Tamandua tetradactyla: one gene and its partners. The protein of the gene in region 2 interacts with the protein of the main gene of each other region in a pairwise test. Links are inferred from orthologs where the notes say so. Each region holds a gene or a part of one and is shown on either strand. Other genes may lie near its edges. The genes, in order: NGLY1, UBQLN1, PNMA1 and MIEF2.

Region 1 (7,192 bases), on a different chromosome or scaffold from region 2:
CCTACCATGTGCTAGAAGCTGAGATACAAAAATAAATAGGGTATGTTCTTGTTCTCAAGAAGTTCATAGTCTAGCAGAGGAGAAAGGGAAACCAATATGTACAAACTACTGAAACATTCTATAATAGAAGTCTTAATAAGATACAAAGGGGCAATGAAGTCATACTCCCTTGTAAAATCAGGAAAGACTTCAAAGAAGTGATTCCTAAGCTCTATCTTGAAAATGAGTAGTTGCTCATCTGGCAAATAGGATGAGAAAGTGCACTCGGGCAGGAGGGATAAGACAAAGGCCTGAAAGCATGAAGCATCATGCTGTCTTCAACAAACTGCTTGTAGTTCTTTATGCCCGATGTCTGATTTGAGGGTGAGACAAAGCAACAGAAAAGGCATGAGAGTAAAGCAGGGCCAGATCACAAAAAGCCTTGGATGTCATACTGAGGACTTTGCATTTCATCCTGTAAGCCAGAGATCATGTGCTAGCAGTGCTGGTCTAATTCTGGTCTCATTCAGAATGCAATATACTTTTATCGAATTTAAATTCATCTAGGAAGGGTACGGTCAATTCGCCCTTCACCACAGTGCCCATTACTTTGGTCTTGAAAAGGCTATTTCACATAATTAAGTTATTTGGGTAGCTCCTGTCACCATTTGAATTTAGAGTATGGGCAAGGAGTAGCCATGGAAACCTTTTACCAGGAGAATAGCATCCAAATGCTATGCACCCTCTAAATTTTATAGGTGAATATTTATTATGTTGTAGAAATGTGGAGGATGGATTGGAGGAATGAGAGTTCAGAAAATACTGTAATAGACTGAGCAAAAGATGATGAGGTCCTGAACTGAGACAATGGCAAGGAGGAAAGATGCAGCAGATATTGAGAAGGAAAAAGGTCTTCAGGGAGGAAGAATTTGAATAGTGTCCTTTGGAGGTTAAAGAGTTGAGAGTGGAAGGTCTTCCCAGCTGTGGGATAATCTGGCATGCCTAATCAGAAACAACAAGATTAAAACTCTCCTGTCACCTGTCTCAGACTTCTTTGAACACAGCAGGTATTCAATAAAAAAGTTGTTGGTTAATAACTTAACACAATCACGCAATAATGGATCACAACACCAATTCCTAGAAGGCTTCAATCCCTCTCCTTGCTGATGGTCTTTGTTAAGGTCAATATTTTTGTATGTCAAAAGTAATCCTGGGGAAAATTTATTGGGTTATTTTTTCTTCTTTTTTTTTTCTTTTTTGTCCATTACATTTAAGAATAGTGCCACCATGTGTCAACTTTAAAGATGATGTTTTTAATAACACTGGAATTGTGAGGAAAATTCATTTCTGTTGGAGCAAAAAATCAATGAAAGAACAGGAAGTTAAATGCTGATTTAATACTAAAACACTTTGTTTGAAGCAATGATAGGCATTAAAAATTTAAAAATAGCTTAATATCTTTAACTTTTCTAAAGGAAACTGAAAAATCAAAATATCTCCAACTTAAGCAGAAAGAAGCAGAGAGGTAAAAGAACAAGACAACATCCCTTATAAAAAATCCCCTCAATAGCTTCATAAATGGTGGCATCCAAGAGAGACTGTAGTGTACTGATAAATTTTAAGAGAAGGGTAGGTTAAGAGTTGTTTGGAAGAATTTAGACTTCAGGCGATTATCAAAAGATCAAACAGCAATTTACAGAATAACCCTTGAAATGCTAATTTTCTATGATTTTATGGACTGTACAAAATTATCTCAGTATTAATGCTATGACATTGTTTCTTCAACACTATGGTTGCATATTTCTCACGAAGGTACCCTATGGCCATTAACTCTGTCACAAAGGCTAAATTGACAGCCCTTCCTTCTCCTATTTCAATTCCAGAGCACCTCCACTTTGATGTTTTGCAAATATTGGGTTTTCTCATAATAGTCTGTTTGAAAATAAAAGTGTGCCATTGCTTGTAAAAATTGGTAACTCATTATATATTATAATCTTAAACGATTATTTTAAGAATATACAAATGTGTTAATGGAAAAAAAGGAACCCAAATTAAAGGGAATATAGTTTGTGGTGGAGAGAGCTAGCTATAACTCTCCCATCCCCCCTCTCGTTTATATAGAGTTGTGTCCAGCTAGGAACAACATTTCCTAGCCCCGTTTTATTTAGCTAGGGCCTGATTCTTGCCAATGAAATGGAAGAGAAAATGCTATAGACGGCTTTGGGGCCCCTGTGGTTAAGTGGATGTGCCTTCTCTTTGTCCAACCACAGGCTAACTCAGAAAATTCTGAGGCTCTATGGCAGAAGTTGGCAAGCTACGGTCTGCCGGCCAGATCAGGCAGGCCAGATCAGGCAGGCCATCTGTTTTTGTAAATAGAGTTTCACTGGAACACAATCATACCCCTTCATTTTAAAAATCATCTATGGGGCTACAATGCAAAGTTAAATTAGTTGTGCCACAGACCATACCTCCCACAATGCCTAAAACATTTACCACCTGTTTCCATACAGAAAATGTTGACCCTTGTTCTAAGGGATGGAAGGAGCCTGGGTCCCTCAGTAACTACATGGAGGAAAGCTACCCCTGACTAAATGATACCTGCCATTAAACTGTTAAGTGAGTAAGAATAACGCTTCTGTGTTAAGCAGACTGAAAATTTTAGTTACAGAGGCTAGCAACATCCTATGTGTTAAACACATCATTCCTGGAAGCTTGTCCAAAACCTTACCTATTTATGAAAAGAAACTTCTCACATATATCTGATAGCGGAATGGAAAAGGAAGTTAATGGCAGAGCTCAAGGTCTTGCTCAGAGATAATGGAAAAAAAGTTCAAATCTTAAAACCAAACCGAAGATAAAGCATTAAAAACACTCAAAGAGGAAACTTAGGCAAGTATCTTAGAAACATAAGGTCAGGAAAAAGTATTTGTGTAAGGAAGTATACTTCCAATGGCACCATGAGGCAGACACTGGATTGAAGAGGTGAAGTACCCATCTTCTAAGAGAAAAAATAAAGAGTAATGGTCATGTGATCTATCTGTAAATCAAAACTCACTAAATAATACTTATCGTTACTACTCGGTATACATATTTTTAAATCCCCGACCCCATTCTATTCTATACTTTTTTAGTTGGTTCTTATTGTGTATATGTGTGTGTGTGTGTGTGTACACGTGCGCATACGCTTTATTCTGGTCACCACACAAATTGTCCCCGCAAGCCTCTAACCTGCAGTTTGAAACATGTCCTTACAGAGGCATCATACTATTTGAGCTGGAATTTATGTAAAAATTTTTCATTTATTCCCGCCTAATTCTAAAAAGAAGCCAAATATCTGAAACCCAGCAGAGCCTAATGCCACGCGTTTGGTCTTGAATGTCTTTTTTTGTCTCTCCTTCCCTCCGGTACCTTTAACCCAGGTCTATCTTGGAGGCCAAACCTGATAATCTGCATGGAAAGGGCTGGGGTTTATTGAGGGAAAAGGGAACAGTGGGGTGGAGATTTAGAGGATCTCCCCTCCTTGTGACTAGATCATTTAGGCCCGCGCCACGGAGTGCTTCTGCGAAAGAGCTGCCAGCGTCGCTCGCGTCCCTCCCGACCAGCCCACCCCGCCTACACGCCGTGTCCGCAGCCCCTCCCAGTCGAGACCCCCACACTGACCTCCCGACCAGGACAAGCCTCCCCCCGCGTCCCTCCAATGTAGGCAAACAGTCCTTCCAGCCCGAGTCTTCCCAAGCGCCCCTCCCGATCAGGCACGTCTCCCCACCTCCTAGCCGAGCTCCCCCAACGCTCCCCACCAGGCCCGCCCCCGCCCCTCCGGGCCGAGCCTCCCGCCGACACCGGCCCCTCCCGACCAGACACGCCCCTCCGGGCCGGCTGCAGAGGCTGCCGCGTGCCCAGGCGCCTGCTCAGTGCGGGACGCGGCGCGCGAGGGGCGGCGACGGCCACGGGCGTTGAAGCATGGCGGCGGCGCTGGACAGTACCTCGGACTCCGTGTCCCCGGCGGTGGCAGAGCTCTGCCAGAACACCCGGGAGACATTTATGGAAGCCTCCAAGCTACTGCTCACCTACGCGGACAACATCCTCAGGTGCGGGGTGGGCGTGGGGCGCGGGGGCGGGCGGGGGCGGCGCCTCTTCGGCCCAGGTCCGGGGCTCCAGGCCGGGTTCTGGAGGGCGGCGAGGCCGGGGGAGGTCTGAGGGGGACCCTGGGGAATCGGCGCTGCGCGGGAGTCCGCTGGCCAGGAACCCAGAGACCCGACAGGCTCCACCCCCGCACAAGAAGAGGAAGTTTCTTTGCACTTGTGACTTGGCATTTAATGTCGGGGTGAGCTGGAGTGAACTGGAAGTCCCGGGGAAAGGGCAGGACGGCGAGGAGGTGGAAAGGCGCGCCTCGGACACCTGCCTCTAGCCTCATGGTTTTAACTGTCTTAAATGTCAGAACTGCGCTTTCGTTTCTACTATACGGATTTTACCGAACCAGACTGCTTAAATTTCCACATGCACATTAGAAGTTAGTCGCGGACAAAGTAAACTGTTCTTCCTAACGTTTTGTAACTATCCTAGAGCAAAGTACTGAAGTGGTGATTTCTGAAAGAAAACTTTATGGTTCCCCGTCCCCCCCCCCCCCCCCCCCGCCGCCCATTTTCTTGATTGAAATATTATTAACCACATTACTGTTAAGTTACAATTTTCTTATTGCCTGGATTCTACTTTTCAGCATGACCTCTTAAATAAGTAAAAATTAGTAATGGTAATCATCTTGCATAAGAGTCATTTATTTCATTCTTCTGTGGGTAAAACAGAACATGTCTAAAGCAGTAAGGGACCTTAGAGACTTTGGAAATTGGGAGGCAAGTTTCAGTGTTCATTTTAAGTCACTACCTACTACAACTCTTCAGATCAAGTGATAAGGGAGTTGATAGATGGAGGAAGGAAAGGGAACAAAGTTAAATGAGTTCATTGTGCCGGTGATTTAGCCATGTTACCTAATTTTATCAGGTCATCTTGATCATCTAAGTTCATTGTCCCCCTCATCTCCTTGTGCATTTGCTTTTCTAAGTGAACTGTATATTAGTATGGAGTCTAAAAAGGAATTCCTCTCAGCAGGGTTATGGATTTCACCTGACCCGAATTTATAGACATTGTTTATAAGGGCAGTGTTTTAACCCATGGCAGTAATACTGTTCATTTAGATAACATTAATGACTTTGAAGGTAAATTGAAGGGAGAATATATTGAGCTGTTATTTTGTGCCAGATGTTATGAGGGATGCATCATGTGCACTCTTCATAGCTACAGAATTGTGACATGTTTGGGGAGTTCTTTCCTCCTCTGTGACATCTTCTCAATTCACCTTTCTACCCTTAGAGGCCTTAAAGCCCTTCAGAGCACAGGATACCTGTGGGACGCTGCAAGAGTGTAATCAGAGGCTGGGCTCTCCAGAGCCAGTTAGCTGGGGCCTCCCACCTGGAAAGCCATCAAGCAATTAAACCCCACTATTCAGAAAAGGGACTTGACCTCCTAATGAGGACTCACTTCTACTTTCATGCCGCTGAAACTAAAAATGCTGAGATAAGGTGTGTTAAGGGAGGAAACCCTTTGCATGCAAATAATGACTTTTGGCATCATAATCATTATTATGAATGTTTACCAAACTCCTGAAAGAAACCTGGCATTCGGTCAGTTCATACAATGGTCTTTACTATGGTTTATGTTTCTGATCTGGAAAAAGATTTGATGAAAAAAGAAATTAGAAATCTGGGACTCATAATCGGAGATGTTATAAAAGACTGTCTTTTAGTTTGGTCTTAAATAATAGTGCCCCTGCTCTCATATTAGCATTTAAACTCCTTAGGCCTCACTGAGGGTGGGGATGAGGATGGGGGATATTCTGTAACAGGGTGTGCCAGATTGAAAGCATTATGTATCCTAAAAAAACCCACATTTTAATCCTGATCCATCTCGTGGAGGCAGCCGTTTCTTTTAATCCCTATTCAGCACTGTAGGTTGGAACATGATTAGATTATCCAATTGTAGGCATTAACCCTTGATTAGAGGGAGATGTGACTCCATCCATTCCAGGTAGGTCTTGATTAGTTTAATGGAATCCTTTGAAAGAGGAAACGTTTTGGTAGAAGCTGCAGAGCCTCAAGAACCATGAGAGCCCATGCAGCCAGAGACCACTAGAGATGAAGAAGGAATATGCCCCTGGGGGAGCATCATGAAACAAGAAGCCTGGAGAGAAAGCTAGCGGATGTAACCATGTTTGCCATATGCCTTTCCAGTTGAGAGAGAAACCCTGAACTTCATTGGCCTCTCTTGAGTGAAGGTAACCTCTTGTTGGTGCCTTAATTTGGACATTTTTATAGATTTGTTTTAATTTACACATTTTCGTGGCCTTAGAACTGTAAACTTGCAACTTAATAAATTCCCTCTTTTAAAAGCCATTCTGTTTCTGGTATATCACATTCTGGCAGCTTTCAAACTAGAACACAGGGTTTTACTGTATTTTGGTGGATTCCTTTGATAATTTGCTCCATTTGTTCTTTTAAAATATGTTTAATTTTTCCACTAATTTCTTAACACAATTATTGATTACCAACTGCACTAAGTGTAATGGGGAAGAATCAAGAATAGAATGTGTTTTTTTTCTTCAAAGAGCATAAATCCATTTGAGAGAAAGATATAGGTATGGAAAACAACCAGAGCATATAATCTAAAGAACAATTTCAAGTCAGTGTTTAAATACTTACCTATTTATGTGAGGAATTAGCAGGAGGACCGTTTGATAAAGTGGATCTGATTGAGTAGCAGAAAGCATGTATTTGACACAGTAGACAAGAGAGAGCAATTGTAGTTTCTGGAGTCAAAGAGAAGCATAATGAAAGAATTTCATGTAGAATAATAATATGACACAAGATATGGATTCCATTTGTGATGCAATTGTAATAATCATAAGCGTAAATCTGAATGGAATGGAGAAAAAAAGTTACTTTGAGCAGAGATTGGCAAGTTTCAGTGGCAGAATAGAAAGAGCAGACCTGGTGGCTGAAGGAGAGAAAATAATCAAAAATAAATTCAGATTTCTAACCTAAGCTACCATTGACACCTGGCGAAATTGAGAGGGGATATTTATTTGGAGTTGGTCAAATTGTTGAGGATTTGTATGGTGGGAAAAGATCAAGCTGTTGCTGATACTATCTGTTGTTACTAT
Region 2 (8,349 bases):
TTTTTTGATACTTGATAACATTTTCTATTTCACTTTGTGAGGGAGGAAATAAGGAAAGATGTAGGTGATAGAGATGGTCCCTACATCTCTGTACAGCTGTGGTTCTCACCCAGGGGCAACTTTGTTTTCATAGGACATTTGGCAATGTCTGGAGACATTTTTGATAGTAATGATGAGGGCTGAAGAGAGGTTATTACTGGTATCTAATGGGTAGAGGTTAGGGATGCTCTGAAATGTCTTACAATGCACAGGAAAGCCCTTTACCCCTGACAAAAAATTATCTGGCCCAAAATGTCAATAGCGTCAAGGGTGAGAAACCCTGCTATACAGGAAGGTAAAAAACAGTGAGAATGGTGATGGAGAAAAGTTTTGTATCTTCATTGTGGTGATGGTAACATAAATCTATATATGGGGTAAAAAAAAACTGCACAGAACTACACACATACACACACACACACACAAATCAAGGTAGGCTAAAAAATAAGGTAAAAACTGAATAAGGTCTATAGTCTAGATTCCATGTCAATTTCCTGGTTATGATATTGTTAATGGCTATTTAAGATGTCATTGTTGGGGAAAGCTGGTTGACGGGTACTTGGGATTCTGCACAATTTTTGCAACTTCCCATGAGTCTTTAATTATTTTAAACTGTGAAAAAACAAATACAGAGACTGGTCAAAATAAAAACCACAGGTGTGTTCCTCAGACAGACTGACCACATCTTCTTTCCTTATCCTTTGCTTCTGTATGCTATACAGTATCTGGTACACTACCAAAATACTATGGGGTCCTACTTAGCAGCTTCTACTCAAAGTTTGTAGTGGCTGTAAATGTATCTGCACATTCTACCCACCTCTACCTGTCCCCCAGGCCTAAGGCTCATAAACTTTTTGAACATTCAACCCCTTTCCTTTTGATTTTGAACTAGTCTAGAGACTGTAGACTGCTTATAACATGTGGACCATAGTTTGAAACAGCTGCCACTAAGAGAGTTTCTGTTTCTCATTGTGCATATTTCTCACGATGCTCTCCGTCTCAAAGCACCTAACAAAAAGTATTATCCATTCCTTAAGGCCTGGTCTGAGCAGTTTCTTTTAAAATCCTCTCCTGGCTCCTTGACTTTCTCCACCCCTCCAAACCCTCCAAGCAAGGGGTGAATAGTTCCTTCTTTTGAAGTTCTATGTAAAGCAAATATACCCCAAGATATGTATGTACACATGCACGTATGTCTTTATATGCTACTACACTTTCAACATTGGGAGAGACAAAAAGAGTATAAAATATACACCACAACTCTAAATGGGCTTCCTCTTTAGTGGAAAACATGGCCATTCAAAATTTTAGTTCAATAGTGCTCTCATGCCAAGGTATTAGGCTGGGCACTGTGGGGGTATTTATGATGATTAAGACATAATCCCTGTTTTCAAGCACCTTGTCTGAAAAAGAAGATATACACGTAAGTAAGAATAGTACAAGACAGAATGTGATAACATAAAAAAAGGTTGTATGGGATTATTGAGGAATTAGAGAATATTTCTTACCAAAAAAGGTATTAGGGAAAAACTGTTAGAGAAGGCCACATTTCAGTTGAGATTTGATGGATAGGCAAAACAATGGGGCCAAAATGAGGGAGGAAAATTTCTAATTGCAATGAAAATGGCAAGGCCTTGAGGAAGAAAGCACAAAAGATGCTTGGAGATCTTAGGTGACTGGCTTGGTTGAGGACAAAATATGAGGAGCAAGGTCTTCTGGTAACATACTATGCCACAAAGTTTAGACTTTATTCTAAACTTTGGCGAGTTACTGAAGATTTTCAAGGGTGGTGGTGGTGTGTCTTGATAAAAGTTTCTAGAACAATAATATATGGCCCCATTAGAAAATAGCTTTAAGGATTGGGACTTTAGACTGAGGCAGAAGAACGTGTATGTCAGGGTCGGCTCACACTGGCTTGTGAGAACTGATTATTAAAATTTCCAGAATTTTGTGAGCCAGCGGAGCTCAAGTTGGTAGACTGACATTGGCCATGTTGTATTTTCCATAAGGAAACTGGCAAACACTACAAATCAAGGCTTGTTTGTTTCTCAGAGTCAGTTACTAAACATTTTATAATAGACATTTAGTACTAGGACACCACTGCCTATCTTCCCACCCCTAAGGAGGTTACTGCTGTAGTCTAGGCAGAGTTAATGAGGGCCTCATCTAGGCTGGTAGCAGGAGAAGCAATTTAAGATAATAGAAGTAATGCTGCAAGTGATGAATTGCCAAGTGAACTGCAGGCTTAGGTTTTCAAAAAAGGTTTCAGAGAGGAGGTAGTAACAAAGGACAGGTGCAAGGTAGGGGTAGAGACTTGAAGGCATGATAAGAAGTGAAAAAATTATAATGTGCAAATACTTCTAGCAATGATGATAAGCACATTTGACTAGAACACAGTATCTCTGCAGAGTAAAGAGAGTGAAACTTGTAGGCGGAAATAAGATTGTGGAAGGCCTTGAATTCCAAGCTAAGGAGCTGGGACTATATTTGGCAGGCACTGGAGTGCTTACTAAGGATTTTGAATAGGGTAAACATGATGAATGCATATGACCTACACCACTTATTTGACATAGGTACTGCCTTGCGCTGAAATTATGTAAATTCCTAGATACAAGATGAGTGTATTAAAAGTTTCCCAGAAGTTATGCAAGAAATTCTTGTTGAGTGATTACATTTTGTCAAAGAATTCTTCTATCATGTGAAAAATAACATCCTATCAATATACTTGAAGTATGAATATTTGAATGGATTTTTTTTCACAATGGGACAGTGGTATGTCAGGGTCGGCTCACACTGGCTTGTGAGAACTGATTATTAAAATTTCCAGAATTTTGTGAGCCAGCGGAGCTCAAGTTGGTAGACTGACATTGGCCATGTTGTATTTTCCATAAGGAAATTGGCAAACACTACAAATCAAGGCTTGTTTGTTTCTCAGAGTCAGTTACTAAACATTTCATAATAGACATTTAGTACTAGTACACCACTGCCTATCTCCCCACCCATAATAATACTTAAGGGTAGAGACTGCTTCTTATTTGTCTTTGGATATTCAACAGTATTTGAGAGTTTGTACTCAATTCACATTTGTACAATGAATAAAATACGCTCTTACAATTTTTCTCCATATTGACTATTTAATAAACAAAACCCATTTAGAAGAAAATGCTTTAACTAGACATCTACACCAGGAGTCAGCACACTGTTTTTATAAGTAAAGTTTTACTGGAATACAGCCATGCTTATTCATTTACGGTTGCTTTTGTGCTACAACGGCAGAGTTCAGAACTTGAGAAAGAGATCATATGACCCACAAAGCCTAAGATATTTACTATTTGGCCCTTTACAGAAAGAGTTTACCGACACTTGATTATGATAGATAACTATATTGTATTTTCATACAGATAAAATATTACTTCATAAAATGTGCCATATGTCTTAGAATTTTAAGAAATAAATGTGTCAACAATTACGAAGCAATTTCTTAAGTGCAAGGTTAGAAATTTACACACGGTTATTCATTTGGGGCACCAAAAAGGACACCTAATATGTAAGTGGTAAGAGGTAAATTCTTCCTGGAGAATATGACATAGGATGATGAGCAGAAGTTACGAAGATGAAGAAAAGGGGAGTCATTCCAGGCAAAGGAGACAGTCCAGACAAAAGATACAGGCAAGATACAGCAGAGGCAGGAAAAACTAGGCAATGAGGAGCTAATAAAGTTGGGAAGATATTTTGTTTAAATATATGGAAGAAGTTCCAAATGATTCGCTGTCCAATGGTGGAACTTTCTACCTTGAGAAGTCGTGATTAACTCATACCTGGACATAGTTAAGTAGTCATGCGTCTCCTTCTCAGGTCTTGTGTAATTTCTGCACGTAACAACAATGCTGCCAGAAATTTAGCTTTTATCAGATAATGTCTGTACGGCAATTTGTACTTTCAGAACTTCTCTTATAACCAAATGGGCTCCACTATAAAACTATCCTTATGCAACAGTACTTATTCCCATAATAGGACTGCTGGCTCAAGAACAGAAATGCAGGATGTATTTTTTGCATATTTGGGTCACAGAGAGTTTACGATTGTGCAGTACTGATTACTAAAGTTTATGCACTGTATTGTATACTCGTAAATCATCTTTAAGGGTAAATGATGCCATCACTTCAAGTTTAGGGTTTTCAGGAACAAAATTTCCTATTATTTGTACCTAAATTACACTGAAAATTATTTTTGATCTACCATAAAAACCACCGAAAAGTATGAAATGTAACAACTTGCTAGAGAACTATAAAATGAATACCTCAGCTCCGTTAAACTGTCCCAGTTGAGTGGGCATTCCTTGGGCATTCTGTTTTGCCCCAAACATTTTGGGGAATAGTGTTTACGGAGAATTCAGTGCGCTCGTGTAGCACTGTCAGAGCGGGAGCAAAAGTCACTTTGTCAATAGAAGTGGTATGATCCTCTGACCATACCTGGCTGACGTCAAAGCAGGATGCTTTAGGCGTGGAGCCATGACTCCGCTGGATTGCGCAGGTTGCTTACAGGCGTTTACTCCGTTTTTCTTTCGTTATGACGGGGACCTTTCTACTCCCTCCTACAAGGCAATAAGATCACGGAGTTCAAGTCTTCCAGGTATAAAAAAATTTAGCAAATTAAAATAACTACAAATATCTCCTTGCGGGAAACCCGAAGCATATAATAAAAGGCAACATGCGGTGCGGTAAACCAAGGAAACATGAAGTAAGAGAGTGGGAACGCTCCCCGGACTGCCCTCACGCACGCGCACCCGCGGCCGCAACGCCACTGGTCAAGTTCCCTTTCTAGTAACTTCGCAGCCCGTGACGTCATTTTCGTGTGCCCTTACAGCGCCTTTCAGAGCCCGCGTTTTTATTTTTTTGTGAAAGTGAAAAAAAAATGAGCTGACCTAACACATACCACTTTGCTGTTAGTCTTCCACTCCTGACACGTTTATATTTGGGGCCATGGAATGTGAGAAAAAGAGAAAAGCACCTGGAAGTCGCAACAGCGACTGCCCAGAATGACTCGGCGCCGCCGCCAGCTGCGTTTCCCAATGTGCCCCGCGCGGCGTTGGCGTAGGAAGGAGGAGGGACGTAGGGGGAGGGGCGGGGAGGAGGAAGCGGCGGCGGCTGCCGATATCGCTGCGAACTAGCGGCGTCTGAACACACCACAGCTGCTGAGGTGCGTCCCGGGTCTGAGTCGGAGCTCACACAGAGCTCCGTGGTTCCTCGCCCGCTAGGGCGGCTCTGCGCCGGTTGCCTTTGAGGCGGTGGGTTCCGCATTATCCGCTGCTCGGGCCGGTCGGCTGCGGCGTCTCCTGGCTCCACATCGCTCGCCCGCTCCCTCCTTGCTCGCCTGAGTCACAGCCGCCATGGCCGAGAGTGGTGAAAGCGGCGGCCCTCCGGGCTCGCAGGACAACGCCGCTGCGGCGGAAGGCACCGGCACTCCCACGACCGCTGCTTCCCCGGAGCCTAAGATCATGAAAGTCACGGTGAAGACTCCGAAGGAAAAGGAGGAATTCGCCGTGCCCGAAAATAGCTCCGTCCAGCAGGTGAGGGCCGCCTGGGGCTCGGGCCGGAGCAGGAGTGGGGGTGGCGGCAGGACTTGTAGCCTCCGTCGGAGGAGACGGTTTTCGAGGGGCCTGAAGAGAGGGTCGTCCCAGGAAGTGCTCTCGGCCATTCTCCTTGGCTTCATCCCAAACGAGAGCACACCTATGTCCGCGGGTTTGCGCTTTGGGATGCCACAGAGGTTTGTGGCGGGGTCGCGCGGCCTGTTTGTGGGACGCGCGGACGCCGCTTCCCTCGGCGCTTTCCTCCTGCGTCCACAGACCCACAGCCTCCTCCCCTCTCGCTCCCCGCCCCCAGCCGCCTCCCCTCCAGCTCCTCACAAAGGGAAGGGACCCGCCGCCTGGCTTCGAGCGGGGTGGAGGCTGGGCGGAGGCGAGGGTTATAACTCCTGACTCTAGTTTTTTTTCTTGAATTAAAAAAGGGGTGGGGGGGCGCTGGGAGTGCTTTGTGGTTTTTGCTGCCTCCGGGCTTAAGGTAGGTTTGGGTCTGGGTAAGGAGCACGTGCATGTTTGGTTCTGAGATTTGGCTGCTGAAATCTTTCCCACCTTCCAATCTTTTTTTAAAATACTGGCTGTGACGTATAAATTGTTTCCAGCAGCATCTCAATAGTATTAGTCTTAAGGAAAAAAGTGAGTGACTTTCATTCATTGATGAGTTACTGTTTTCTTTTTAGTATATTTATCATGTCTTAGATGCTATTCTGGGATAAGTTTATTTGTTAGCGGCGTTACTCAGATTTTGGCAATTGCGTTGGATAAAAGAAAATAAAATTGAAGTTAATGGGAAATATTGCCAAATTTACTTCTTAAAGTCTGTACAAGAATACAGATTTTGCAGACATTTTAAGAATCGATGAAATTCAAATTGTTTTAGTTCATTGTCGGGTATATCCTCGATATTTTTCTTAATTGAATTCGTCTCTATCTCAGTGTGAACAGTTAATGAAGGAAAACAATTCTTGAGATTTGCCTATAAGCAGCTTCTGGGTGGAAAGTACAGGATTGCACTATTGGTTTATTTCGTTCCATAAAGTGTTGTGGTCTGTGAGGCAAAACAGTGTAGGTAGTAACATCAACTGAGAAACTTTTATCACTATCTGAACCACACTTTTTTTTTAAATCTCACAGTGCTCATATGGGAATTTTCAACAATTTGTACTTTCCAGCACACACAAAAGTTGAAAGAATCATATGTCTGACACCCATATGTCCATCTCTTACAATGAACGTTTTGCTATATTTGTTCTATCACATATCTAAATCATTTATTGGCCCATCTTATTTTTTGGATGCTTTTCCAAGTATGTTGCAAGTATCAGTACATATCCCCCGAAAAAGTACTTCAGCAATGTACATATGATTAACTTGAGTTCTGTATTTTTTACATGTATTTCTTTAACTAAATTTGACATGCAGTTAATCATAAAAGGGCGTTACATTCCATACATTTTGACAGGTGCATACACCTCTGTAATCCAGACTCCTATTAAGATGTAGAACATAATTATTGACCATGAAATTCCTTCCTCCTTTTTCCTGCTCTGTTCACTCTCCCCTTCCATCAACCACTGTTGAGATTTTTTTTCACCGTCGTTTAGTTTTACTTGTTTTAGAACTTGATATAAATATGATCATATGGTATGTACCCTTTGAGATTCATTTTTGTGTTATCAGTGGTTCCTTCTCATTGCTGTTGTTTTCCATTATATGACTATGCTGTAATTTATTTATCCATTTCTAAGTAGAAAAATTCATTTAGGTCAATTTATGATGTGTATGTAAGGATGTTTTTGCTTTTTTTTCGGGGGGGGGGGTGGGTCGGAGCATGGGCAGGCATCTGGACTCAGGGTCTCCGGCATGGCAGGTGAGAATTCTGCCACTGAGCCACGTTGCACTGCCCTGTTTTTAATTTTTGTAATGGTGGAGTTAGAATTCTAAATTCTATGAAGTTTTTTTTTTAACCTCCCTGTAACCAAAGCAAATTTTTAATAAAGTTAAAACCTTTCTAAAGTCACTTTTCTGATGGCAGTTAATTTTTTTTTTTTTTTTTTTACCAAGTGCTTTCTTTTGAAGCAGAAAAATGGTAAAAAGTGAAGTTCACCACTTTGATCCTTAAGAACTTGAAGATGGGTTGAAATAAGTAAGGACTCTTTTAAGGGAAGCATATATATAAGGAAATGTGCAGGTATAAGAAGAGCAGTTTTCAGATGCTCTATTTCTTTTTAAAAAGCTACTTGGAGCGTAAGAGAAGACCTGTAATTTGAAGGTTTTTTAAAAGCATTTTATAGATTTAAACTATTTGTCTAATTAAAAATTGTCATTTAAAAATACCTAAAGACATTAGGAGTCCATTAAAATGTTCAGTAGAAAATTGGGAAATATTTGGTTCTGAAAATTATTTTGTCTTGTCGGGGAGGTGGGTAAGCCAGAGTCTCTCAAAGCTTAATATCGATGTCTTTTGCTTTCTATTGGGCAAATCTTTTCTACAATTTAAAATCTTTCGGTACAGGTTTCTATGTAATGTAAATTTTTAAATATATCATACTAAGGTAATATAAAACTTAGGTAAATTGTAGGAAAGAAGTTGTAAGTTGATAACTTATTTCCTATTTTTCTCTTAGTTTATGTTTGTATAACCAACAAGTAGAAACAGGTTACCTTAATTGTATGTAGTGCCATGTACAGTTGGTATTTAATAAATGTTACTTGTTGAAAATTGATAATAAAGCTTA
Region 3 (7,765 bases), on a different chromosome or scaffold from region 2:
GCAGCCAAAAAGACATCCTTCAACCCAAATTTCCTTTTTAGGCTCTTGATATAAAATATCATTTTACACATGAATGTATACTGAGTCAGTTACTACTTCAGTGAAACAAAATTTTTGCTGAGAAGGGATTTAAAAAGGAAATAAAAACATTGCCAGATACCCTCCCTAAACCCCATCTCAAAATTAACCTAAAAATTTTTATTTTACTTATATCTATTTAACTTCCTAATATTTGCCTTAAAAACATGTAAAAATTGAATATATTAAAAGAAATTACAATTTTAACTCATAATGATAAAGCTTAAAAATAAATCAAGGTTTGATTTTGTTAAAAAGGAAAAAAATTGTAAGAAAAGGAGAGAGAGCTGAAATTACACTGAAGAATTTTATACATGACAAAATCAGACAATAAGTTTTAAATCTTTTTATTAGCATACATCTATTAAACAATTTCAAATTTTAGAACACTTAGAATCAGCAAGAATAAGGAGACCTACTATTTGATGACAAAGATGGAGAATGGGGGAATGGATTATTCTGCAGGTTATCAACTTCTCAGGCGATTTATATCTGTATCTTGTATCAAAATTCTTGATTTACACACCTCTACAGTTGCAGTATTTTTCAAACACCCCATTTTGTAGTCTCAGAATACTTTTCAATTAAACTGAGAGACATTTAAAGATGAGAAATATGAAATTGCACTTTATAGTTAAATAACAAATATCTAATAAATTCACATTTCTTTTCCATTAATATAAACTAGGAACAATATACAGTAAGCACAAACTATGCACGATATTAGTAACAATAAAAGTTCACATTTTTACTGAACACTTCCTTTCAGCTAAGCCTTGTGCTGTCTGAACATGCAATTTCTCATTTAACAACCTTGATGGGAAGCGCACAGGTTCACTTGTTTTTCACAACTGACAATGATGCCACGATGACAGCTCACACTGAGCACGTATTCAAGCCTTTACCTGGCATTTCAGCCAGCATGATGCACTTGCACTGTTGCAGCAGCTCACAGTGCTCGCTTGCAATTTTACAAATGTTACACTAATATGCAGGCCGGACTCCCCCTCCCCCCACCCCAAAAAGAACACAACAGAACACTTCTATGGATTTACTAATCAGAGAACACACCTATAACACAAACAATGGAGCAGACGTGATCTAGGTCTGCCCTAAAGCCCCCTTTTTCCAGGGACTTAGAAGTGCCCCTCCAGGCCTAACTGCAGGAGGGCTGCCTCAGCCTCCTCCTCCTCCTCCTTGGCCTCCTCCTCGCGGATCTGCACCAGCAACTGGAAGAGGTTAGGGGCCGGCCCTTCCGCAGCCCCAGTCAGCCATAGCTGCCTTCGGATAGCCCCGCTGTGGTTGGCCCCCGCAATGACTTGCTCCAGGCGGGCCTGGTTCACGTTATCTTTATCGATGGCCCCCTTGTCCACCACCTTCTGCAGCAGAGGCTCCAGACGAATGACATAAGCAGATAACTTTTCTCCAGGGTTCTGATAAGTGTTCAGAAATCTGACCTGCGCATCTCTAGAGCTCTCCACACTCCCAAACACCTGCTCAAGAGCCTTCAGACATTCGGCAGTGGTTATGGCGGGGTTGTTGGTCTTGAGGATGCGAATGACATCAGAGGCGGGGCCTCTAAGACTCTCAATCAACCGCCGCCTCTTTTCTACATCAGACACCTGCCACTCCTCCATGACCTCATTAGTGTGCTCTAACCAGGGATCAAAAGTCTCCTCCCCAGGCCCCGGAATATCTCTCCCCGAAAACAGGGTCAGCTTCTTGTACCAGATAGACTCAACAAGAGGCTGAATAACATTATCCAAAATATAATTTAGCATCTCTGCTGGCATTTCTGGGCCTGGGGCCGGAGCGGGGTTCTGAAATCCAAGGACCCGAGCAACATCTTGCACGGTCCACCCCTCTCTCGCTAGGAAAAGATGCAGCCTTTCCAAAAACTCAGCATCAGAAGTTGGGGGCTTAAAGACCACTTTCCAGACCCCGCCTTTACCCGGCATCTCCCGGGGGATAGCGGCGTAATCTACAGCACCAGTGAGCTCTAACAAGGCTGCTTTCGCATTCTCTTCCCTCCAGAACATTCTCCCAAGCACTCGATAGGGTACCTGGGGCATTGCTGCCTGGAGGGTCTCTTCGATTTCAGCCTCATCACAATTCACTGGGATTCCCCAGACCAGCAAGGCTCTCTGGGAGTTCACATCCATCCCCCTGCACCAGTCTTCCAACAATGTCATCGCCATTTTCCCAACTATCAAGTGGCGGCACCCTTACAAGTACGAATTCGATTGTGGCTTTGGCCTAGGGCTTAGCACAATACCAGACTCTCCCCCGAACAAACACGAGGGGGGCAAGCTTCCCGCAATTACAACTAACAAATGATACCAAAGTCCTGCCCTCGCCCTTCCCCTACCCCAAAGTACTACTCTCGTAAGTCCGTCCGGGCGTTCTCGGAGCGAGGCCTCGCGGACGCTCAGTCTAGTAAGTCACGCGGCCGGCGCCATCTTGCGTCTCCGGTCGGCTCCACGGCCGAGGTCCGTCGCCTGCAGACAGGGCGTTGACTCGCGACGAGGAAGGCGAGAAGAGAGGGCGGGTCGAGAAGGCTGGAGCCTCCGGGCCGAAGAGGCCGCCGGGGTGTGGTTGCGGGGCGTGGCCGCCTCTGCTCTCAGCCGCTCCGGGCGTCGATCAGGCGTTGGCGGACGGAGCTAGGCCTTCAGGGCGGCGGCCTGGAGAACTCTGCCGTCCACCGAGGGAGCTGTTCCAACGTTGCAGAGGCGACGGCGGCCAGACCAGGCGAGCCGGGAATGGTTTCTCCGCGGGCGCAGGGACCTTTCTAGGCAGCGACGATGACCGGGGACCGAGGCGGCAGACGGGCTAGAAGGACGGAGAGGCGAGGCTATGGCGGCTGAGACGACCGAGGGTAGGGGCAGCCGAGCGCGCCGGTCGCAGCGGGCTCTGGTGCAGCGTGGCGACCAGAGCGTCCTCCTCACAGCGAGCTCAGGAGCTTCTGCCGCAGTGGAGGGCGCCGCCCAAATCGCGAGGCGTCGAGCGCGCCCCGCCCCCACGACGGAGCAAGCGCGCGTGTAACCATGGCAACGGTGTCCCAGGCGACGGGAAATGCGCGCGCTCCCGTGGCGGGCTGAGTCGATTCGTTGCCATGGTGCCAGCGACAGGCTGTGGGCAATGGTTTTTTTGATGGCGCATTTCCTTTTTCACGTTTTCCGGTTTGTTTGTTTTTTTTACAGTGAACAAATATGCTAAGCACCGTGTTTAAAAATAAGGATCTAGAGTAGACTTAAAATATTGTTGAAAATGCACCCATCATTCAGGCCTGTGTATTGAGGTCGCTCATTCAGTTAGTCTATGCTGCATAATAAAATGTTCTCAACACCCCGGCCACCTGACCATACCCTGCATCCTGCATTTAATTCCAATGAAACCAGGAGGCATGTCATTTATGTTTTTGTGTGCGACACTGAGTTTAAATATTTTCTTACCTAAAACTTGGTAGTAGATACATTATTTCTACTCAGTCACCTTTGTAGCAAGGACACCATCAGTGTGAATTTTTTCTTGTCCTAGCGTCGACAATGAGCTGGTAAAACAGAATCCGTGTACAAAAATGTCCAGTGTCATCCCTTGTATGCAAAACAAGGCCTAATTATGTCAACCCCAGTTGGTGAAAAAAACAAAGCAAAAGAACACAGCATTCAACTCTGAATTTTTAAAACCTTATTTAATAAAAGGTTTAAAGATACAGAAGAACATTCAAAAGTAAATAAGTTACATAGGTACGTTACAATCACATCAGCAAGATTTTCTTTAGTGTATTAATTTTTTTTTTTATAAAAAGCACACAAAAAATAAAATTTTCAGTCTGGTCTATCACAACTGTACAGCAAAAGAGGTAATATTTATAATATATGTACACTAGTTTAATATGTAACAGTCTTTTTAAAAAAGGGTGCCACAGGCAGCAAACACACAAAAGGCAGTGTCTGATCTTTTTTTTTTCAAAATAAAAGGAATATAGTATTTATATGCTATTAAAATATTTGTACAATAATTACAGACTGTCAAGGCTGTTCCTGTGCTCTGTCCCCTCCAACAAGGCCTTCAACTTGAGAGACAATGAAGAAAAAGTGATAACAGCTGCAAATTGTTAGAGGCAAATAGTAACACAGCCAAATGTGGGGAGGATGCAGAATTGTTTTATAAAAATATGCATACTTCCTGTAAACCTAAGGAGTTAGGCTTGCCAGTCTGGTAATAAACGATCCAAGGAAAGTAGGCCCCAGTGAAAACACATTTAAACAGCTGAGGCTGGAGTATATGTGTATTCCTCCTTCATCTTAACATCTGGCACATAAGAAAGAGGTTACATCATTGAGGCAGTTAAACATAGGCCATCCCTTAAGACACAAGCAGCATGTGACCTCTGTGCTAGGGTGGACCTCACTTAGCACAGCGGGAGGTGGGGCGGCAGAAAGGGCTTGAGGGGGCTGCTGAAGGCATGGAGGACAGTGCTGACAGCACTGCTTCCTCGGGTAGGTAAGAGACCTCAGAAATGGTCTGGAATACAGGCACTAGGTCAGTGTCATGCCCTTAGCTGAGTGCAGGTGGAGGCTGGAAGATGGATATGGTGGGACAGTGTAGGAGGGCATTATGAAACTGGAGGTTTTGTCACAACTTCCTACAGCAAAGAGCTCTGAAGAGGAAAAAATGGAGGGGGTGGGTAATGAATTGACTGTGTTCACAGGGAGAAAGCACCATGAGAGATATACATACCAGCTTCTATGGCTGCATCAACTGTATTGGCGGGGCACTTGCCACAATTGCATCTGCCCTCTGAGCATTTTAATTTTCACACTGCATTCTAGATATAAATCCATCCTTAAGCATGGATCCTCCTAAAATATGGTATCTGGTAGATAGGCTGCTGGACAATTAATACTTTCCCCATCTACATTCGCCTGGTCTGGTCTTCGTGAGCTGAGAAGAAATCATTTTCTTGTTAAAAAAAGATGTCAAAGGACTGGATGCTACCACTGGTCAGCAGGGTCTCATGAAACTGAAGGTTGTTTCCTTTATACGCCCATGAAGAGGCCTGAAACTAAATACAGTTTAAACAAAAAAACAAACATGGGACACAGAAGTAGCACTTTGGAGCTAAGCTGAGAAGGCACTCATATTCCACAAGTGATTTAAAAGTTAGTCTAAATTTGCTACCCTCCTGCTTCTAGAAGGGTAACAGATTTTTGCAATCTTGGGCCATGTAGCTTATAGAAGTCTATGGAAGAAACTGACTAGGAAGCTGGAAATATATGGGGTCATCCAGGAGTCGGGGAGGGAGAAGAATTTTGTTACTCTTATAGCTGGGGTCCGGTAGAAGCACATGAATGAATAAATGAATATTGAAAAATACCTGATAGTGCATAGTTTAGAAACAAAACTCCCTCCCCACTCTCAGTTACTAACATGATGCTTTTAGGCGGCTATTTCAAAAGGAGTAGCAGAATGCATACTGTGGGGTTTCTTTCTAAAATGTATGACCTGTCATTTACTTGTATTCACTTAGAACTCCTACACAGTTCAAGCTGAATAACAAGAACAGAAAAATAACTCAGCTCTCCTATGGGACTGGCAACTGAAGAGGCCTCTAAAACCTTCCAGCCCTTTTGCCTCAGTGACTCCATGCCAAATATGGCTTCTTCAAGCCAGAATCTAGGCGTGATAAACAAAATTAGAATTCTGGCCTCCTGTCAATCCCCTCAGGCGATCTGAAAGTACAGCCAGGGAAGTAGCAGCAAATAAAAACTGCCTTTGATCTCCCAAATGCTCCTGCTAGCTCCCGACACCCTCCACCTTTTTTTTTACCATCTTTCAATGCTGCCATCATTCCTACCGGCAAGAGCTTCCAGAGCAACAAGGCGTGGACCTTAGGGTTTGGGACTGAGGGGGGAGGCAGGGGAGTGGTGCCAAGAAGGTGCCTTGTTTGGGGATAAATGCACTTGGGCCTCTGGAAAGCAGGCGGCCCCCTGGTCCCTGAGAGGATGTTAAAACTTAAATATCAAGAATAAATAAATAGCTCCTGAATGACACCAGTCAAGGAAATGAAGGCTCCTTTCCAATCTACTTAGGAGACCTCCCTCTCCCAGGGAAAGATCCAGAAATCTCCAGCGTGCAGGATTGGGAAGCTGAGCTGTGGGCATCAGCACTAGACAGTGCTGAGGGGAGTTGGGGGGTAACTGCTGAGGGCAGGACAAAGGCAGGTAGGGTACTTGCCGCACAGAGGCACCGGCTGGGTGGCTGGGGATGGCTCCAGGCCTCTGCAGGCCTTGCTCGAGGCTAAACTCCCATGGCAACCTCCAGGGCCAAGAAAGTATTTGGCAAAGAGGTGGGAAGCAGGAAGAGCCAGGTTTGTCAAAAGCTCTGCTTCCTTCCTTTCAGCAGGCTAAGCGTTCAGACAGGGACCCGGCCCCCTTCCCCAAACATTTGAGAAAACTTTCCAACCCCAACAGGGCTGCTAGCAAGCAACAATGGGATAGGTACCTGTCCTCCGACTCTCCCACGATGCATTCTGGAGGCCTCCCAGGAGAAGGTGGCCTTTCTGAGGACATAGTCACGGAGCAGCTTAAGGCCTGGACCACCACATTCCCGCCAACAGTGCCTTTTTTTCGGGATGGGGGCCAGGCCTCTGAGGTCCTCTGGAGAGGGGGAATAATGCTGCCATGGGGGTAAGCTTGGGGGTGAGTTTGTGCTTGGCTTGCCAAGGCGGCTTCCTGGAGACTGAGGGGAGGGAGGATGGGACAGCAAGGAAGAAGGGAAGAGACCGAGCGGCAGCAGAGGTCAGAGTGTGAGAGGTGGCAGCAGCGGCCGGCCGCAGAGGCTGGAGCCCCTTCGGAGGAGGCAGCCCAAGTGGGGACTCTCACGGTTCCACGAAAGCATGAGGACAACTTCCAACAGACTAAATGCAAAGAGAACTGGATGCTGCTGCCCATTAACACTGCTCCTTGGGGCCTTTATAAATAAAAGAGCCATTTATTTGACTGTCTGGTTTGTTTTTTTTTTTTCAGAGGAAAGTCTATGGTATTCTCTTCTCACTCCCTCCGGAGGTTCCAGGGTGTTTCCAGGCGCTTCCGTAGGCGGGTGCGGGGAGGGGCCGGGGGTGGGGGGCCCGGGCCGAGGCTCGCCCGGCCGCGCCCTCCCTGCCGTCAGCCCTTCTCGCCAGCGCCGCCGTCGTCCCGCAGGGCCTGCGGGTGTGGGGAGGCGGCGGCGGCTGCAGCTGCTGCTGCGGCGGCGGCGGCGGCCTCCTTCTCCCGCTGTCTCAGAGCTGCAGCCTTCTTCTCCTGCTCTGCGTGGCTCTTCATGTGGGCGCTGCGGCTCTTCACCTTGTAGAATACCCTGCAGCCGGGCACAGGCGGGAGTTCACATAAGTGGTCTGGTCCTCCCAGTCCCCGGGGACCACTGGGGAGGCGGGGGAGTGAGTGAGAGTGTGCGTGTGCGTGAGGGGGGCTCCAGCGGGGGCCTTAGAGAGTGTGAGTGTGAGTGTGTGTGTATGTGTGTGAGGAGGGCTCCAACGGAGGCCTTCCCGACGTGCCCCAGGCCACACAGCCCAGCTTCCCCCTCTCCCAGAACCGAGGGGGAAGGCTCCTGACTCAGCGCCATGCCTCTCTTCTAAAAGCTGCCAAACGATGTCACTGCCCCAGAAACCCAATAAGCCAATCAGAAG
Region 4 (8,353 bases), on a different chromosome or scaffold from region 2:
TCCCACTTCGCACAAGGCATGGAGACCTCAGGGTGGGGTCTGGCCACCCTGCCGGGGCCTGCTGTGCCATGCCCCCCCCCCCCCCACACACCTGCATAGGCTCTCCGGGATAAGCTCGAGGCTGTTGTCGGCCGCCATGAACTCCTCCAGGCTGGCCAGCTTGCCGATGCCTGAGGGCAGCCCGTCGAAGTCCAGCTTGTTGGAGTTCAGGTAGAGGCGCTTCAGCTTGGTCAGCTTGCAGATGGCCGACTGGTTGGGGGGGGGGATAGGCAGGCAGGGGCTAGTCAGGCTGGGCACAGCAGCGCGCCCCCCCCCCCCCCCACGTGGCCAGGGAGCCCGTGCACGCACAGGCAGTGAGGTGAGCTGGTTGCGGGACAGGTTCAAGGTCTCCACATGCACCCACTGGTCGATGCACAGGGACAGCTCTGTGATCTGGTTGCTGCTGAGGTTGAGGCGGCGCAGGCTGGGGAGGGTGTACAGGCACTCGGGCACCCGCGTCAGGTCATTGCAGGACAGGTCTACATCTGGGGACACAGGCAGTGGGAGTCAGCAAGCGCCCTCAGGGCCTTGAACCCCAGTTCCACCATCCACAGGCTGTGCAGCCCTAGGCAAGTGAATTAACCTCTCTGAGCCCGTTTCTCTCCATGGAGAGTAGCACAAGTTCTAGGTGTAGAGCAGGTGCTCATAACCTAGCAGTACTTGCTGCATCACAACCACAACAGAATACTCATGTAGCCCTTCTCCTCCCTCACGAAGGGGTCAGGGAAGGGGGCAATCGACACCCCATCAAGTTAGAGGGGGACCCCCTGACCTGCCAGGCTGCTCAGGCCCTCCAGGCTGGTGGGCAGGTTGCTCTGGGTCCGCTGGGTGTTGCGCAGGTGCAGGGTCTGCAAGGCCGTCATGGCAGGGAGCTGCCTGCAGGGACACAGGGCAGGCTGGGCACGTGGTGGGGGCAGGGCCAGGCCCCGGGAGCAGGGGGTGGTGCCTTCGCTGGGAGGGCAGATGGGGGGCTGTATTTGCCCAGGGGGACAAGGCCAAAGGTGGCTGCAGGCAGAACTGATGACATTTAGAGGCCTGAGGGTATAGCAGGCCCCAGGCCAGGACTCCTCAGAAGGAAAGGCTGTGGGGGTGGGGCCTCACGGGGTGGGGCGGGTCCTCATGGGGCAGGGCAGAGGCGGGGCCCCGCCTCGCGGTGGAGGGGCAGGGTGGGGCGGGGCGGGGTGGACCTGAGCTGGGCGTGCAGCAGTGGGTTCCCACTGAGCAGCAGCGTCTGCAGGTGCCCTAGGCGGCGCATCTGGGGGGGCAAGCTCTCCAGGCGGTTCTCGCTGAGGTCCAGATACAGCAGGTCGGTGAGGTTGATGAAGAGCTGGTTGGGGATGGTGTCGATGCTGTGGGCGGGAGGGACGGCCTGAGCGGGCGCCTGGCAGGTGGGGCCCACGCTCCTGCCCGGGACCCCCAGGTGGACCGGCACCTGTTGTGGCTGAGGTTCAGCACCAGCATGTTTTTGGCATTCTCCAGCTCTCGCGGGCACTCGGTCAGCTGGTTGTAGCTCAAGTCCTGGGTGGGAGGGAGCAGGCCCTGGTCAGGGCATCAGGGGCTGGCCCCACCTGCCAGACCTGTGCCGGCTCCGGCACCAGGGAGGAGGCATCCAGGGGAGAAGCAAACAAGGGGATTCCAGGGCCAAAGGGAGGCAGCCCTGAGAGGAAGGGTATGGCCACTCTGAGCCTCAGTTTCCCCACGTGAAAGTGGGATAAAAATGGCCCCAGAGACCACAGCTATGGGGTGGGTGGGGACTGCGTGGTTGGGGTGACCCACCAGGTGGGTGGACAACCACTGACCAGGACTGAGAGGTCATCCAGTTTGAAGATGTCATCAGGGACTCCGGAATTCTTCAGGCTGTTGGCTCGAGCCACGATGGCCTGGGGAAGAACCGTGAGGGCCTGTGAGTCTCAGCCTCCACCCCCAAGGCTGGAGAGGGACACTTCCTTCAGGAAGGCTGCCTGAGTGCTGTCACACCTCTGGACCTCTTCCGCCTGGCAGGCTCTTACTCATACCTCAAAGCCCAGCTCAAATGTACCTCACAGCCCAGCACAGGGCCCTCAGGGAACCTTTTCTAGATCTGAGTCAAGGTTTCTAGAATGGAGCGACCAAAGAGAAATCAGTGTGTGGACTGAGAGGAAGACAGCAGAGCTGCAGTCTGCTTTCTGACCCCCTGGGTGGAACTTCCACATACCGCAGACCTACAGGAAGTTCGTGGGGGTGGAGGAGGTTGTCCCATGATTGTAAGAAGCAGTGGTAAGAATGATAATAGCCACTAAGGCTTACTCAGTGCCATTCCACCCTACTTGCACTTGGGGCCCAGGAAGCTGAAGTGACTTGTCTAAGGTCATGCAGCCGGAAAATGGCAGAGTTCACATTTGAACTTGGGCAGCCTTGGCCCAGAGGCTGTGCCCTAAACCTCTCAGGTCACTGGCTGTGGACCTGATCCTCGTTGTCCAGGGGCTCCCCTCTGACCCTCCCACCCCAACTAAGCTCACCCTACCAGCCCCACCACTGCCAGGTGTGACCTGACCTCTGAGCTTAAGTTTCTCCCCTCCCAAAATAGGTGGAAACCAGGGTTAAATGATTTACTACTACTGCGTTGTTACAACCCAAAGTGGGTAATCAGGACTTCTTTTCTTCTTTTCCACTCTGGCCTTCTCCAACTCACACGCCTCACCTTACACAAGCATTATTATGTCTTCCCTTCTTTATGCCTCGGCCCCTGATTCTCATATGGGGGTAGACAGAAATGCTGGCCCGGCCGGGGATCTGGCCTTGCCCTTCCTCTCCGGGCAGGATACCAGCGCCTGCCCCTAGGCCCCTCCCATGTCTGGCACCCCTCCATGCTCGTCAATACCTCACCCCTGTGCCTGGAGGCCTCCCCCTCCCCCCAGCACTCACCCGAAGTGATGGCAGGCTGGACAGCTCTCCATGAAGTGTGGTCAGGTTGTTGTGGCTCACAGACAAGTGCTCCTGGGGCAGGAAGGGAGACGGGCTCAGCAGGCTGGATGGGGTCCACACATGTCCTGCCCACCACTGCAGCCTTGTACCCCATGGGGGGAGGGGCCTCGGCCACGCAGGCCCAGTCTATCTCTGCCTTCTCCTCACTCACAGGCCTGACCTCTTCTTGCACACCTCCCATGACAGGGTGCTTACTCCCTCTCAGCCACCTCTGACCACGACTGTCAGAGTGTTCCTCCTGTGCTGGCCACCCTTTCCACCCAGCCCAGGCTCATTCACAGGGACACCCTCCTGCTCCCCGCCTGAAGCCCCTTACCAGCTTCTGCAGAGCGGCCAGCTCCTCTGGGAGGTAGCAGAGACCCGTGCGGTTCAGCTTCAGCCATCGCAAGCTGGTCATGGACTTGACATTCTCAGGGAAGTAGCCACCCTGTGTAGCCACGGAGTGCCATGGTAGGCATGTCTGGAGAAGGGAGGCACCCCCTCCCGGTACCCCCACTCCACCACCCACCCATCTGGGTGACCCTGGACGAGTCACTTCATCAATTTCCTTACCCATGACATGGGGCTAATAAAAGCCCTCACATGACAAGTGTTGTGAGGATGGACTAACTGTAGGTGTGGTTGGTGGCCTGAGATCTATTTGTCCCACTGGACTCTGAGCCCGGGGAGGACCCGGACAGGACAGTACCTGGCTGAGGTACGTTCCAGATTTGCACTTTGTCTCGCAGCACAGCCCACCCCCTCACACCCCCACCAGGTCCTGACCCCACTGTGCTGAGGCCTCGGCTTGCCACCCCCATGGACTCCCAGTATTCGAATGCCCCAGGTGCACATGGGCAGATGGGGGCTGGGGGGTTCGGGTCTGCAGTGACAGCCCCTCCCTGCTTGGGGGAGGAGGTCTGGGACAAAGAGTGCTCTCCGTGCCCCTGGCTGGTGTCCCCTTTCCCCTATGGCCATCTTCCCAGTCTGTAATGCAGCCTCTCCTAGTGCAGAGAGGACACCTGGAGACCCCGTGGGGATGGGGGACAGGGTGACATGCAGTCAGCCCACGCCTGGGCATGGGAGTCAAAGGTGTGGTGGTTTGCTGGGAGATGCAGGAGGAGCGAGCCCCAGGCTGACGCCCAACCCCAGGCAGAGCGGGGGAGGGGTGGGGGGCCCTCAGACCCCCACCTAACAGCCCCAGGCCCATACCTGCCCCGCACACTGCAGCCACACATCCCCCCACCAGGCCAGCTCTCAGCTGCGGCCCTTCTCTGGAGTCACAGCCCAGCCCACCCCATTCCCGATTCTCTCCAGGACAACCTCCTCTTGCCCTCCAACTGGGCAGCGCCAGGTAGGGGGCAGGGGTGGGGAGGGGGCCGGTAAGAGAGGCAGACCCACACCACCGGGGCTCACACCGGCCTGCACACCCTCCAAGCAACTTATCACGCCCTCCGGACACTCCCAGGAAGGGCTGCAGGGAGACCCTCCTCCCGGAGAGCAAGCCCGGGTCTCCGAGGAGGAAGTGTCTGGCCCAACACCGCACAGGATGTGGCCAGGGGTGGCGGCGGGGCGGGGCAGCGCGGGCGTGAGTCAGGGCCTGGCTGGGCGGTGCGGCCTCCGAGGGGCACGACTGGGGCTGGGGCGGCGTGAACAGGGGCCCGCCGGCCGGCCCAGGGTCGCCCCCGCCGAGAGGCCCCTCTTCTCGCAGCCCGGCCTGAGAGCCGTCCTCCCGCCCGGGCAGCGCGCCGGGCCTCGGGGCCGCGGACTCCGGCTCGGGGCAGGGCGCGGGGACGGTCCCGGAGCGCCCGGAGGGCCACACCCCGGCCCGGCCGGCGATCGCGGCCGCGCGCAGGGCCCCGCGGGCGGCCGAGGAGCGGGGGGCGGCTGGGCCCGCGGCGGAGGAGGCGCAGCGCCCGCGAGCAGGCCCGGCCGGCTCACCTTGAAGTCGTTGCCGCTGAGGTCCACGCCGCGCACGAACGGCAGCACCCCGGTGGCCTCCATGGCGCCGCTGTCGCCGGCGGCCGGGCAGGGCGCGCAGGGCGGATCCGGGAGGCGGCCGCGGGCTGGGCCTCCGCCGCCGGCTCCGCCCCTTTAACCCGCCCGCGCCCGCCGCACCCGCGCCCCGGACCGCCCTGCCGCGGGAACGCGCCTGCCCGCGGGGATCGCCGGGTCTCGGGGCGGGGAGGGCCTTGGCTTCGGCTCCTCTGACGGCGGCAGGGTTCAGCGTCGGCTCCGAGAACCCCGCGGCGGGACCCGGGGATGTTGCTGCAGTCGTCCGACTGGGTTTGAGGGGTTCGGGGGCCCGTTCCCGAGGCGCCCCTGCCTGCCCCAGGGCTTGGCCCGGGCCACCCTATACCTGCGGCCGCATCTGTGAAACGCTTCCTAAGGCCAGACGCACCCCCACCTCCACGTGGAACTCCCAGCATACAGCAGGCGCCCAATGGTGCACGTGTTTGCTATCCCTGCTGGGCATGAGCTCCCCCAGGTGTGTTCCCGCGATCTCCCGCCTCGTGGCCCCCCGAATGCAGCTCCCACAGGGGCGGGGTCCGGGCGCAGTCCAGCGACCCCAGAGCAGGCCGGGCATTTCCCAGCTGCTGCTGTTTTCAGCCACGCCGTGCGGGGCCCTGCTTTACAGAAGGGAAAACTGAGGCCTGTGGAGCATGGACACACCCCCTCACCCCAGGTCACCAGGTGGGCCAGCAGGTAATCCTGAAATGCCCTCAGGTTTCTGGCAGGTGACCTCAGGGCGCCCGGCAAGTGGTCCCGGGAGAAACGTGGGCCCAGAGAGCTTTCTTCACCCCCAGGCTCACTATCCCAGGGCACCCAAGTCACAACGGGCCCTGGGGGCCGCTCATTCCACGCGCCGGGACAGGCCTCCCAGCCTCCACTTCCCAGCCCGCCGCGGGCTCGAAATGGAGTCCTCGGCCTTTAAGTCGAGAGGAAGTCGCGCCGGGCGGGGGGCGTGGCCAGGTGCCCATTGGCTGAGCTGCGCAGTATTTTGGCACGTGGGCGGGGCGCTGTGCGCTCTCGTTGGAGCTCGGCTTCCTCGTCTGCGTGCCTCTGGGGGTCACCGCCCGCCTCCTCCGACCCCGGCCCCGGCGCGCGCCTCCCGGCTCTGCCGCGTTCCATTCCCAGGTGGGCCGGGCGGGGCCCGCTTCGCGCTGGGGCCCGTTCGCGGGGCCGCGACCTGGGTACGGCGGGGCGGGGGCAGCGCCTCGGGGCCCGCCGCCCGCGCTCGAATCCCGTGTTGGGCAAGCCCCTCGGTCTCCGGGACGCGGGTTCCTCGCGTGGGGGCGGGCCGGGCGGAGGAGGGAGGGGTCACGCCTGCCCCCCGCGCCGGCTCCTGGGGCTGGGGCCCGGGCCGGGGCCGGGGCCTGCTCGGCCGCCGGCGCTGGGCGGGCGCCTGCGTAGCCAGGAGGGAGGTGTTCAAATCGGTGTACAGTTCGCGAAGTGGAGGCGGGTGAACCCCCGGTGGACAAACCGGCCGCCCGGCGGACTGGTCAGCCGGCTGGCCGGTGTCCTCGCGCGGCCCCTGAGACCTCTTGTTCTATTTTTAGCCTGGGCGGGTGGGTAGGTGCTTGGGAATGAGTCACTCCCTGGCCCGGGCTTCGGCGGGCACCTGGCAGGCCGGGAGGGCTGCGTCCCCAGGGCCCCAGCCGGCCGTGACTTCATGACGCGGGCTTCGGCCTCCCGGACTGGACAGTCCTGCCTGGTGTGTGTTTGTCCCTCCTGCAGGCCCGGGGCCCCACGCTGGCCCTGTAGCCGCCCCTCTCCCTCAGCAGGTGGGCTTGGTGGGCAGAGCCTGAGGCCGGGTCTCCCTTAGAATGTGGGGCTGGGTCAGGGCCCTGCCTCTTCTCACCTGCCTGAGCCTGCCCAGAAGACACCTGCGGACTCCCTCCTTCTGATCCTTTCTGTCCACCACCTTTGGCTGTTTTGCAGGGGAGGAAGTGGGTGGCGCTGCTGACCCTGACCTTAACTTCTGGGGTGCGTGGCCTCCTAGCAGCTGATGACAGCTGTCCCTCTGTCCCCAAGCCACTGGGCAGTCTCACGTCTGAGCTCTAAAAAGCTTCCTTGCTCACTGCCCCTGCACGTAGCAGGACTTGCGCGTGCCCTCTGCTGCCTGGAGCCAAGGCCGGCCCCCTCTGCCTGTCCTGGGGGTGCCCTGTCAGCATTCAGGGCTGGGAGTGTGGCCCCTGAGTCTTGCTGAGGTCCCCTTAACTCCTCCCCACCTGTCTACACTGGGAGTCTACCCAGCCCTGGTTGGAAACCAGAGCTCTAGGGCTGCGGCAGGCTCTGAGCTGGGCTCGTGGGTCAGAGAGGACCAAGTAGACTCAGGGGCCAGCAGGAAACACTGGGGTGCCACACGCTGTATGTTTGCGGGTTTGTGCCCCCACTGCTCACTGTGTGATCAGGGAAAAGCTGGTGGTGACTCCGACTCACTCCTCTGGGGAGGAGCCAGTCTGCATGAATCCCCCTTTTCCTGCAGGCAGTGGTGTGCAGGTTTGGGGGAGCAGGGCCTTGGGCAGCACCCTGATCTCCCAAGAAACCATACACGTAGCCCTTTTCTCCTGGGAAGCTGTCATGGGCTTGACTAAGTGCCCCAGCAGGATGGCTGCAGGAGCCCTCTGCCCATCCCTGCCTGCCCTGGGCCACCCCCTGGCAGTCCTAGCTTCTCCACTGGGGCTGCCCACATGCACGCATGCACACATACACAGATGTGCACACACATGTGCATGCACACACGCACACCTGGTTCTCTCCCAGCAGACCATGGCTGAATTCTCCCAGAAGCGGGGGAAGCGGCCCGACGGTGACATCTTCGGCACTGCTGTGGACTTCCTCCTGGCCAATGCCCGCCTGGTGCTGGGCATGGGTGGGGCTGCAGTACTGGGCATCGCCACCCTGGCTGTAAAGCGGGTAAGGCTGTACTGGGTAGGTCCCAGCAGGGGGCCGGTGGGGTGCATTTCAGTCCCCCAGTAGCTCGGTGTGTCCCACCTGGAGCTGTGCCTGGACCCCGGCGACCCGACCTGTGTCTCTGCCTCCAGCTCATTGACAGGGCCACCAGCCCACGGGATGAGGATGACGCCAAGTTGGAACCCACTTGCCTGGAGGATAGCTGGAAGGAGCTGAACCTGCTCAGGGCCACGCCGCGCCTGCACCCCCAGCTGCCTCCTGTCCCCCTCAGCCGGCCCCTCCTGTCCCCAGCCCCTGCTGCTGCAGGTGAGCCACAGCCCTTCTCCCAGGATGCAGGGGTTCCCTTTGGGGTTCTCCTGGAGTCAGTCCAGGCTCTGCTGCTGGTGGTGTGACCCGGGCAGGTTCCAGGCACTCGGGGTGGGTGGTGCTCTCCCCGAATGGTTAGTGAACAGTG

Evidence for each region.
Region 1: the proteins of UBQLN1 (region 2) and NGLY1 interact in binary tests that used the Homo sapiens proteins (3 or more experiments, as listed by UniProt). The two-hybrid records come from large-scale screens. The link is inferred for Tamandua tetradactyla from reciprocal best matches to the Homo sapiens genes UBQLN1 and NGLY1.
Region 3: the proteins of UBQLN1 (region 2) and PNMA1 interact in binary tests that used the Homo sapiens proteins (3 or more experiments, as listed by UniProt). The two-hybrid records come from large-scale screens. The link is inferred for Tamandua tetradactyla from reciprocal best matches to the Homo sapiens genes UBQLN1 and PNMA1.
Region 4: the proteins of UBQLN1 (region 2) and MIEF2 interact in binary tests that used the Homo sapiens proteins (3 or more experiments, as listed by UniProt). The two-hybrid records come from large-scale screens. The link is inferred for Tamandua tetradactyla from reciprocal best matches to the Homo sapiens genes UBQLN1 and MIEF2.

What each region holds. Positions count from the first base shown.
Region 1 is NC_135341.1:62,310,252-62,317,443, forward strand, and holds the start of NGLY1 (peptide-N(4)-(N-acetyl-beta-glucosaminyl)asparagine amidase), read left to right. Parts: upstream 1-3,884; 5' UTR 3,885-3,939; coding exon 3,940-4,067; intron 4,068-4,715; exon of another isoform or gene 4,716-5,502; coding exon of another isoform or gene 5,503-5,555; intron 5,556-7,192. UniProt on the Homo sapiens protein: Specifically deglycosylates the denatured form of N-linked glycoproteins in the cytoplasm and assists their proteasome-mediated degradation. Cleaves the beta-aspartyl-glucosamine (GlcNAc) of the glycan and the amide side chain of Asn, converting Asn to Asp.
Region 2 is NC_135328.1:116,702,643-116,710,991, forward strand, and holds the start of UBQLN1 (ubiquilin-1), read left to right. Parts: upstream 1-5,333; 5' UTR 5,334-5,422; coding exon 5,423-5,602; exon of another isoform or gene 5,603-5,891; intron 5,892-8,349. Other genes in the region: uncharacterized protein LOC143673720, read right to left, coding at 4,572-4,627, 4,958-5,333. UniProt on the Homo sapiens protein: Plays an important role in the regulation of different protein degradation mechanisms and pathways including ubiquitin-proteasome system (UPS), autophagy and endoplasmic reticulum-associated protein degradation (ERAD) pathway.
Region 3 is NC_135338.1:32,581,883-32,589,647, forward strand, and holds PNMA1 (paraneoplastic antigen Ma1), read right to left. Parts: upstream 3,067-7,765; 5' UTR 2,277-3,066; coding exon 1,215-2,276; 3' UTR 410-1,214; downstream 1-409. Other genes in the region: MIDEAS (mitotic deacetylase-associated SANT domain protein), read right to left, coding at 7,248-7,437.
Region 4 is NC_135332.1:1,888,572-1,896,924, forward strand, and holds the start of MIEF2 (mitochondrial dynamics protein MID49), read left to right. Parts: upstream 1-5,155; 5' UTR 5,156-5,425; coding exon 5,426-5,470; intron 5,471-6,003; exon of another isoform or gene 6,004-6,176; intron 6,177-7,749; coding exon 7,750-7,902; intron 7,903-8,030; coding exon 8,031-8,205; intron 8,206-8,353. Other genes in the region: FLII (protein flightless-1 homolog), read right to left, coding at 92-249, 349-524, 812-915, 1,227-1,388, 1,472-1,557, 1,839-1,919, 2,944-3,015, 3,320-3,430 and 1 more. UniProt on the Homo sapiens protein: Mitochondrial outer membrane protein involved in the regulation of mitochondrial organization.